Arabidopsis thaliana: one gene and its partner. The protein of the gene in region 2 interacts with the protein of the main gene of each other region in a pairwise test. Each region holds a gene or a part of one and is shown on either strand. Other genes may lie near its edges. The genes, in order: AT2G45820 and MOS6.

Evidence for each region.
Region 1: the proteins of MOS6 (region 2) and AT2G45820 interact in binary tests that used the Arabidopsis thaliana proteins (3 or more experiments, as listed by UniProt).

What each region holds. Positions count from the first base shown.
Region 1 is NC_003071.7:18,862,155-18,866,385, forward strand, and holds AT2G45820 (Remorin family protein), read right to left. Parts: upstream 2,588-4,231; 5' UTR 2,423-2,587; coding exon 2,269-2,422; intron 1,579-2,268; coding exon 1,525-1,578; intron 1,430-1,524; coding exon 1,342-1,429; intron 1,270-1,341; coding exon 993-1,269; 3' UTR 799-992; downstream 1-798. Other genes in the region: AT2G45810 (DEA(D/H)-box RNA helicase family protein), read left to right, coding at 86-164; DTA2 (downstream target of AGL15 2), read left to right, coding at 4,170-4,231. UniProt on the Arabidopsis thaliana protein: Exhibits a non sequence-specific DNA-binding activity.
Region 2 is NC_003075.7:949,782-955,280, forward strand, and holds MOS6 (ARM repeat superfamily protein), read right to left. Parts: upstream 3,910-5,499; 5' UTR 3,822-3,909; coding exon 3,606-3,821; intron 3,234-3,605; coding exon 3,134-3,233; intron 3,044-3,133; coding exon 2,952-3,043; intron 2,849-2,951; coding exon 2,717-2,848; intron 2,591-2,716; coding exon 2,405-2,590; intron 2,315-2,404; coding exon 2,151-2,314; intron 2,064-2,150; coding exon 1,985-2,063; intron 1,911-1,984; coding exon 1,782-1,910; intron 1,692-1,781; coding exon 1,564-1,691; coding exon of another isoform or gene 1,560-1,563; exon of another isoform or gene 1,473-1,559; coding exon 1,103-1,472; 3' UTR 765-1,102; downstream 1-764. Other genes in the region: AT4G02140 (uncharacterized protein), read right to left, coding at 29-211, 304-459; AT4G02160 (cotton fiber protein), read right to left, coding at 5,320-5,499. UniProt on the Arabidopsis thaliana protein: Binds to conventional NLS motifs and mediates nuclear protein import across the nuclear envelope. Acts as a cellular receptor for the nuclear import of the virD2 protein of Agrobacterium, but is not essential for Agrobacterium-mediated root transformation.

The DNA of each region.
Region 1 (4,231 bases), on a different chromosome or scaffold from region 2:
GTTCGTGTTTCTTTTTCTCAACTGGTGTGGCCTCTCTTTTCATAGATGCTATAGCTTTCTTACTCAATTATTTGGTTTCCAACAGGTATCAGACAGAGCAAGAACTTGGAACTGAAATCAAGCCCATACCTTCACTTATCGACAAGGCAATCTACTGTCAGTAACTTCTACCTGGTGTACATTCTCTACCCGGCAAGGCATTGATGGACTAACCGGTGAGACAAATCCCTCTCTAGGCATCTTGACATTAGAACTAACCTGCATTGCTCATAGACCAAATTTCCATTGATTTTGGTTTGCGGTTATTTAGGTGTAGTGAGGAGGCAAATCATTCAGCTTTGGCAGCCACTAGCTCGTTCTAGAGATGAAGGCAACACATAGAGTACTGTACTGAGGCAAGAAGAGACAGTATAGGTGGTTGATGGCGATGGAAGCGGTTGATTGTGTCTAAACCTTTAAAGCAGTACCGGCTTGATTTGGTTTGAATTGAAGACTTCTTCTGCTGCATGATATGAACCTTAAAGTTGTCTTCTCTCATCTCTAATTTTCATGTTCTTAGAAACCTTTTCACCTTTTCATTTTGATGTTCTCTCATCTTGAAGACTTGAGAGGAATTTCCGAGTAGTGAGATCAAACCGAAGAAGACATTTTAACTTCATTCGCTTGTTTATTGCTTTTAGATCTCCACCTGTGCCTGAACTGTTTAAGGATTATAGTTGGTGTGTGTCAAGTCAAGTGTCTTAGCATTTTAAGAGTTACAGATCAGATGTGAAGTCGTACAACTGAAACAAAAGGCAAAACAAGATTTGATGCTTCATACAATTATACTCCATTAATCTTTCACTTTTACACACAATCACCCAATATGTAAACAAGACACAAACGACCAAACAAATAACAAAAACTAAAAAGAGTTGTTGAATCACACAAAAACAAAAGAAGAAGAAAGAAACAGAGATGAATTGTTACAAAGATACAAATTCAATAAAGGCTTAGAAACATCCACACGTTGCCTTTGGTACTACACCAGTGGCTCTATACTTAGCACCCATTTCTTCAGCTTTGAGAAGCTCTTCTCCTTTTTTAGCTTCAACCATTGCTCTCTTCTCTTCTGCTAACTTGTGGATTGCAGCTACTTTGTTCTTCATTTTCTCACCGTACTGCGCTTTTTTCTTCTCTAATTTTTCCTCGATCTTCCTAAGTTGAGCTTCTACGGCTGCTTTCTTGCTATTTTCCCAAGCATGCACATCAGAGATCTTCTTTTGTGCCCTGTCCATTTCAAGATCATCAGAGATCTGTAAGCAATAGTAATCTTTGGGTGAGAAGATGATGAAAGTTTACCTGTTCTCAGCCTTTGACTTCTCACTCTCTTCCCATGCTTTGATGAATGACGTTTTCTTCTCTTTTTCCAAGTCGGCAAGTATCACATCTGACCAAACACACACAACACACATTTGAAGTAAATTACTGAACTAAGTAACTAAGAAACTGGACATGAGAAACAAAGTGTTGTTATCAGCTGACCTCTATCGGCCGAACCAGATGAAGCTTTCTTAGGTGTATGCTCCTCGATGGGTTCTGCAAGAAGCACACTTATAAGTATAACACATGGATATTTGTTGCAAGAAGCTCACTTTTAACTAAGTTAAATTTTGTTGCTCTAATTGGCTAATAAGGTCATCAAAATAGTAGTTTATAAAACGAAACTCCACACAGAAGGAATTACAGATAGTAAATAAAGATGAACAAATGAATGTTCAAGGATTATAAAAACTGCTGGAAAGTTAGTACTTAATTGTTATTTTCCAAGAGTTAAGCAACTTTAAAGGAAGGAAAAAATGTAGGAATATTAAGAAAGTAACCCACTTTCCTTAATTCATAGCTGTCCACAACTAATTTGTCATGATTCCATACACTTTTTGATAACACTAATTACAGGGAACATTGCTTTACTATTAATCATATTTTAATAATATCATCCTCGAAAAACATAATTCTCTTGAAAATGCCATGATGAAGTTGTAAATTCTAACAGCGATGGATTTCACCTAAACAAATAGAGTATAGACCAAGTCATATGCAAAAGAACTCACAAAAACCTTAGGCATCTTAAGAAAATCCATTTGTTAATTGTAAATTGAAACCTTAGTTCCAAACGTAAGAATTCTGAATTACATACTATAATAATTCATCGTAAACATGAATGAATCCTCCTAAGTAGAAGATTAACATATATAAAACACACACGTATGTAAATAGAAAGCTTACTTTCTACAACGGCAAGAGCTTTGGACTCGACGGGAGGTGGATTATGAATTTTCTCATCCGCGACTTCCACCGGAGCAGGAGTCGGTTCCTTCGCCGGAGCTAAAACAGCCGGAGATTCTACGTCAACCTTACTCGTCTTTTGCTCCTCCGCCATTGTCTCTCAGCCGAAGAAGAAGAACAGATTTTATGTTTTTTCCGTGAAAATGGATAAAATTGAGATTTTAGGACAATAATGAGTTAAAGAGTTTTTATATCCTCCGTTAGCTTATACCGGTGGAGCGTACTACGCGCGTTTAATAAGTGTGAGACTCTTGTTTTGCTTCGCCGTTGATTTTTGTACCCATGTGATCGTGCGGCTGTAAAGCTCTCATACGCATTGGATGCGTTACACGTGATTAAACACACCTCACTGCCGACAAGTAAAGTGGTTCAATGATGCCACGTCACCTCTGTAGAAAATTTGTCCTCCCCTTCTTTTTTCCTGATATTCAACAAAACTTAATTCTTCCAATTATACCGAACTAAAATTTTGTTTACCATATAAATTGGTTTAAAATTGAAAATCAGATTTTAGCTGGGATTTTTTTATTATGAGAAAAACAACAATCAAACTACAATCAAGAAAATAAATGATCTATATTATTGCTAATCTTGGCTTAACTAAAAAGTTCGTATTAAAAAACTGAATCTAAATTTGGAGTGAGCTCGTATGCCTATAGAATTGACAGAGTGTCGGGTGTGTATTAAATCTATAATAAAATATCAATCACTCGAATTCATTTAAACAATTATTTTAGTTTTAAAATTTAAGTGGATCAAAGGGTGACGTGGAGCCTCACTGACTCGACACGCTGGAAGACAGATACAAAAAGGATAATGTCTGTGTCTCGCGCGTGTACAAAACTTTCCGGTTATGTGGCGCGTGGTATATGCAATTTAAACTGGTTTAAGCATGTGGTATATGGACTATGAGATGGAGACATCTCTTTTTGTAGGTGTTGGGCTTTTGTGAATCCTAATGGCCCAACGGGTTTTTAAATTTCCTGCCCAACTTGTTTTAATTTAAAGAAAGGTGTAATTTTTTTTCTAACAAAGCAATAAAGTAAATTAATTAAGGCTAATCACTAATCACAGACTCACAGTTTCGAACAGCCTGTGAAAGATGTATTAATGTATTTGTATAATAATAAAAAGTACTCTACAACATGGAATTATTTACGATTAATTATCTGTCTTGTATGATGATGAGTGGTCGAATATGGACTATGATGTCACTGACCTTTATTTAATGGGTTAAGGTTTATCTTCTTTCTTCTTTCTTCGAAGTTCGGATTCTTTTATTCAGTTTAAAGCACTTATAACAAACTTTCCCAAAGAGGACTTTAATTAATTGAACTCTTGCAGTTTTATTTTTGTAGTAAGCAGATTATTTTTCTAAGAACATCAAAGGTCTTGTATTTAGTTATTTACCAATAAATACAACGTTAATAAGAGACGATTATTTGGGAAACATTTGTGTATCACATATCAATGTCCATATGTGATTTGAGCATAGGAATACCAAATATGGATGACCAAATGTCTCCTACTAATTAATAAAATATTATCTATTTAATATTTAAAAACATTTTAACTCTTCGAAAAACTAAAAAGTAAACAAGATTCACACAAAAATATGAACGTCATTAACACAAAAGATGTGAACTCTGGTTAGTGTTGAAGATAACGTGAAACAAGATTCAAATCCTCGTGGAAGAGCACCAATCGATCACCAGAATCAAACCTTTGAGCTTCCTCCTAGCTTCGGTAACGTTTAATCTCACCTGATTCTCGTTTTTCTTCTCTTCCTGTTGAATGTTTGTGAACATAGATATATATAAAGCTGAGATAGATATAGATTCATGCTTCAACGGAAAAGCATGAAGAGGAACAACAACAATCTTCTAACGAACAAGAATAAGTA
Region 2 (5,499 bases):
GCCATAACGGCTAAGGCGTTTGCTGCTATTAATTTCGTTTCTGTTGGAAATTGAGATCTGCAGGTAGACCAACGGGAGTAGATTCAAGCTTGTGTGAAGTATCTCTGGGATTTTTTGGCGGAGAAAGCGGTTCCTTTACAAAACCGGGTGGTCGAATATCCGGTACATCCTCATCCGCTGGAGTCTTCGGGTTCGCTACATCATCCAAACCCTACATCAACAATAACAACATATCACAAACAATTTAGTTGTGACTTGTGACAGCTAAGCTTGACATATATAAACAACAAAGTCAAAATATACCTCGGGGTCTGATGGAAAAAGACTAGGCTCGTCTCCATCGTTACGGGCATGAATCTCTGGATCAGCGGTTCGACCAGTAGAAGAAGATAGTCTCTTCGCATGAAGACGACGACCGAGAGTAGAACGTGCTGCAGCAAAAGCTGGTGAAGACAGCATTATATCTGGCTATGTTGTTGTTCTTGTTGTCTGTTGGATATAAAACAATGAGAGTGTTTTAAATACACGAATTAGTCACATAGCCTAAACCCTAATTTCTCGCATATAGAAATTATGACCATGATAATAACCACTTAATCACCACTAATCTCTCCTATTTGTAATTAGACACCAAAGTACCCAATAAAAACTCCACATGCGTATATTGCTCTTGAAGTTTTGACCGTTGCCTCAAACCTCCACAAGCGTATATTACTATTTCTAGCTTCTCTGTTTTCTAAAATTGCGAGTAAAAATGATTAACTATTGAATAAAAATGTTTCTGGTTTAGTTAAGGCATAACTACGATTTTGTAATGGCACTAATATATGAAAAAAGGGAACTTTGTTGAAAGACGAGATGATGGCTAACACAGAATAATTGTTTCTCTTCCCCAAATGATTTAGTTATTGAGACAAACTTCCAAAAAGAAAAGAAAATCGTACTATGTTTCTTCATAGTTCATGTCCACGAGTTAAGGAGTGGGCATGAAGAGATAGAGAAGATTGATATTTCATCTTTGTGATGTTACCACTTTCGTTCGATATGTGGCTTACTTAAAAGTCCAAGCAACTTCTATGACCCAATTCAACTATTTTACCTTTCAAATAAAGTTGAATTGACCAGGAGGAACATTGGTGCTTCCGAACTGGAAACCAGATTGTGGAGCATGATTCTCGTCGTTGCCTTCTTCTTCATTGTCTTCAGTCCAAAATGTTTCGAGGATCTTCACGGCTTTGTCGTAGATATCATTGTTGTCGTGACTCTGAAGATTCTCAATCTTCTCTAACCCTTCTGCTTCGTCAATCATTTGAGCGTAGAGGTTGTCTTCTCCTGTGTGACCTAAGTTCTTCTCTGCTTCTCCAACCACGAGAATGTTCTCTAGTGCTTCTAAGCAAACCGTTACAACTTTCAGATCTGGGCAAGTAAGGAGATCGCATAGAGGTTTGATACAGCCTTGGCTCACCATAAACCTGAGAAGAAACAAACAATAAACACAGACGTGTTTTAGAAATGACCATTCTTTGTTAAGGAAACATTTCGTTTCGGTTTTTATGGTTTTACTTGATTTGATCATGAGTGCCACCAGAAGTAGCATTTGATATTCCCCAAGCAGCTTCTTTTTTTACTTCGAACTCTGCACTTTGAAGCACCCAAACAAGAGACTGGATTATACCTGCATCAATCACTGCCTGCACATACGGGTTCGAATAAAATCAGACACAGGAAACTTCAATTTTCGACTTTCTTGTTAAATGCCATATATTATAAACAAAACTCACTTGTATCTGATCTGCATTTCCAGCTGTAATGTTGGAGATAGTCCAGCAAGCTTCCTTCTTGATACTCTTCTTGTAATTGTTTTTTAGAAGGTTCAAAAGACAAGGAAGCGCTTGCTGGTCGAGAACCATCTGTGTTAGGAAAATAAGTTAGAGACATTTGCTTCTGAAAACTCGAAATCGAATGGTGAATGTATTATATGCACCTGAGTCTGTAGATCATCCCCGGTTACAATATTTCCAATGGTACGAAGAGCAGGAATCAGCACTGATGGCGACGAATGACTATACGGAGAAAGAGGAAGCACATAAATCAGATAACATAATCATGCCTGGCAATAAAAATTAAAATGATCACTATCAGATGCTTACCCTAAGAGCTGGATGAGGCGAGGAACAACTCCTGCTTCAATGACTGCTTGTATTTTGTCGTTTGAATTATCCGAGAGGTATGACAGAGCCCAGCATGCATCTGTGAGAACTTCTTCATCCATTGATTGCACAAGGCGCTCAAGAACTGGTAAAGCTGGTTGTGTCTGCTCGAAAAATGTTTTAAGTAACAAAATATCAGAAGCATGTTAAAAAATATTGTGGAGATTCAATAAAGTGTGTATATTTAAGGAAACCTGTTCAAATGCGGGTGGGGGCTTCCCTCTGCAGAAGTTTGATAATGTCCATGTAGCATTTCTCAGCATTGAAAGCTTTGTATTCTCATTGAATTGAGACAGAAGAGGTGTCATGGCACCGTAACTTAGGACTAAATCCCGGCATTTTGGTGAGTCTCCAGCAACATTTCCCAATGCCCAAACAGCCTATACTCAGTCAGGGAAAGACCAGAACTCAGAATGGTAACAGTCTCAATGAATTTCCACTTGATCCTAATGTCTAAGTGTTTCTTCTGTGACAATAACGATAACAGTGAGGATTTAAACATATACCTGTTCGCGGACATCTTCACTAGCAGAGCTGAGAAGTTGGATGAATATCGGGACAGCTCCACTTTCAATGATGACATTTGTGTTCTCTGATGTCCCTGAAGCAATGTTGGTGAGCGCCCAAGCTGCCTCAAACTAAAACACATTGCAGAAGTAAACAGCAAAAGCAAGTTAACAAATACATCAAACTAGTAACTATCAATATATCCAAAAAAAAACGACTGCAGCTGCGACTCACCTGAAGTTTGGGGAAGTCATCCCTGGAAAGAAACTTCACAACACGAGGAACAACACCAGATTGTACAACTTCATTGATAGGAGGATTTTGTTCTACAAAAGAAAAAACAACTGCTAAAGACTCTAACCAAAACACTGATTGTTATGTACTACTAGTAACGATCAATAACATAAATCACAAACCAATAGAAAGCAGTTTCCGCAAGAGATTTGTTGCCTCCAATTGTGAATTGCTATCCTCTGACCAGATTCCAGCAACCATAGCAGGTAGATTATCTTTTAACTGTAACACGAAGAGACACTATCATAGTCAAAAATCTCCTCTAGCTAAAGTAAATTTGATGATCTCCGTTGAGATATCAACCCTAATTCTCTTTACATGTCAAATTCAACACCGCTCAAATTCCCAGTCAATTAAACAGACATTAGTAACAAATACTCTCACCAAACAACACATACACATCGCAAGTTTTTGCAATCAAATACAAAATCTATGACCAAAAACAAAGAAACATCGCAAGAACTTCAAATCTAGAACAAATCGATCTCCAATTAGAAATTCATATGAAACAGAGACGATCTAATTGATCAAATCGGAACATAAAATCAGAAAAAACTAAAGGTGGAATCGTAAACAAAAGAAAGAATCACATACTTGGTTCGCTGAAGAAAGATCCTGTTCCGTTTGTCCCGTTGCTGAGCCAAAAGCCATAGAAGACGTAAATCTCTTCTTCTGCAAATTTTCCTCTCTCTTGTTCTTCCTGATCTCAACCAAGTTATCCTCTCGCCTCCGCCGTCCTTCCTCCGCATCGACCGCTACTTTGTACCGATTCCGTCGCACCTCCGTCTTCGCGCTAGGTCTGAGAGACATCGCCGCTAAAATCGAATCGAAATCGGAAGAGAATTAACGATCGGAAGATTATTTAAACACGCCAAGTTCGATTAATGAGAGAGTGATAAGGGTTTTGGAGTTTGATGCGAGTGTATTTATACAAGAGCGTGTACTTAGGAGGCCACGATTCAGGAGACTTGTTGTTAATCCAATATTGCCCCTAAGTTTTATCATTAATAACGAACCTGCCACTCATATTTTTTTTCTTTTTTGAAATTTGAATCTTAACGTCTCTCTGCCTTTTTAGGTATGTATACACCGACTACTAATTATGGATTTGTTTTCCTTTATTTTCTCCACGCAAATATTCTTTTCTTTTTCTGCAGCAGCAATACTCTAATTTGAAGAGGCTTTTTAAAGCCCAAATAAATTATTACATAGGCCAAACTTGGCTAAAACAACGTAATTTACAAGACTGTACTCTAATTAAAAGGGGTAAAAAGATCAATGTGAGCAACTGAGCATTATGAGAACTTTACTAATTAGATGCTTTACTATTCAATGCATCTTGGAAAGACGAGAACAACCATATTGCTTGAATTCCTTTCAAATGAGAGAACAACTAAATTGATTTCTTTCTATTTGTGCCATCTTATAAACTTGAGTGAACGACCTCTATTCCCCTACGCAGTTTCACATAGTACCACAACTACACAGATTTAGAACTTCGTTTACAGTCAACACAAAATAGAAGGTAAATTATTATATCCTCCTAAATCGAAAGTTAGAGAATTTAGTCTCCACAAAACCAAATTTTGTAGTTTATTATTAGGTTAACGTCATAAACCTAATGCCAAACCAAAAATCTAGTATAATAAACCGAATTGCAACCGATTCAATTTACTCTCCACATCATAAACTTCTAATCTCTCTTCTTTAGCTTCCATGTCTCTGATTTTCTCTTCAAGCAAATTGGATTCTCAAACCAATAGGAAAATTCTAAATTATATTGGATTGTACCCATAAGTGAATTATAAACTTCTACTTAACTCATTATTGGGTTTTTGGTTCAAAAGAAAAAAAAGAAAAAAACGAATTGCTTGAAATATGACAACAACAAAGGCTTGTAGCTCAGAGTCATGTATATGACACCCTAGGAAAACTGCCAAAGAAGCTCAGAGTCATGTATATAATTTGCGTACAAATTCATCATCTACTATATCACTCACAAGAAGCTAGCTGCAATTTGGTTCTAGCATTATGACTTGAAGATGATATATAGTAAACCAAAATGACATCAGTTTTATAAATATATTTTAATATAGTTTGCGTACAAATTCATCGTCTACTATAAAAGTATACAATCAAGACTAACTGAATACAATATATATATCATTACTTAAATCATCGAAATAATAGACGAAAAAAAAAAATCATCGAAATAATCAAAGACAAACTCTGTGCACGTCTCCATGCATATATGTATACTCATGTAATATGACATTATGCTTCAGTGAATAGAATTACAATGTGCGATTTAGACCATCATCATCTCTTTAGCTTTGTAACGTTCTGTATAAGCCTGATTTTGCATCCTCATCTGTTCATAAAATCTCACAATAAACTCCTCAGCTTTCGCATCAATCATCTCATCACCTCCATCATCATTACCATAATTTTCATCATCATCATCATCTTCATCAAGACAATCCATATC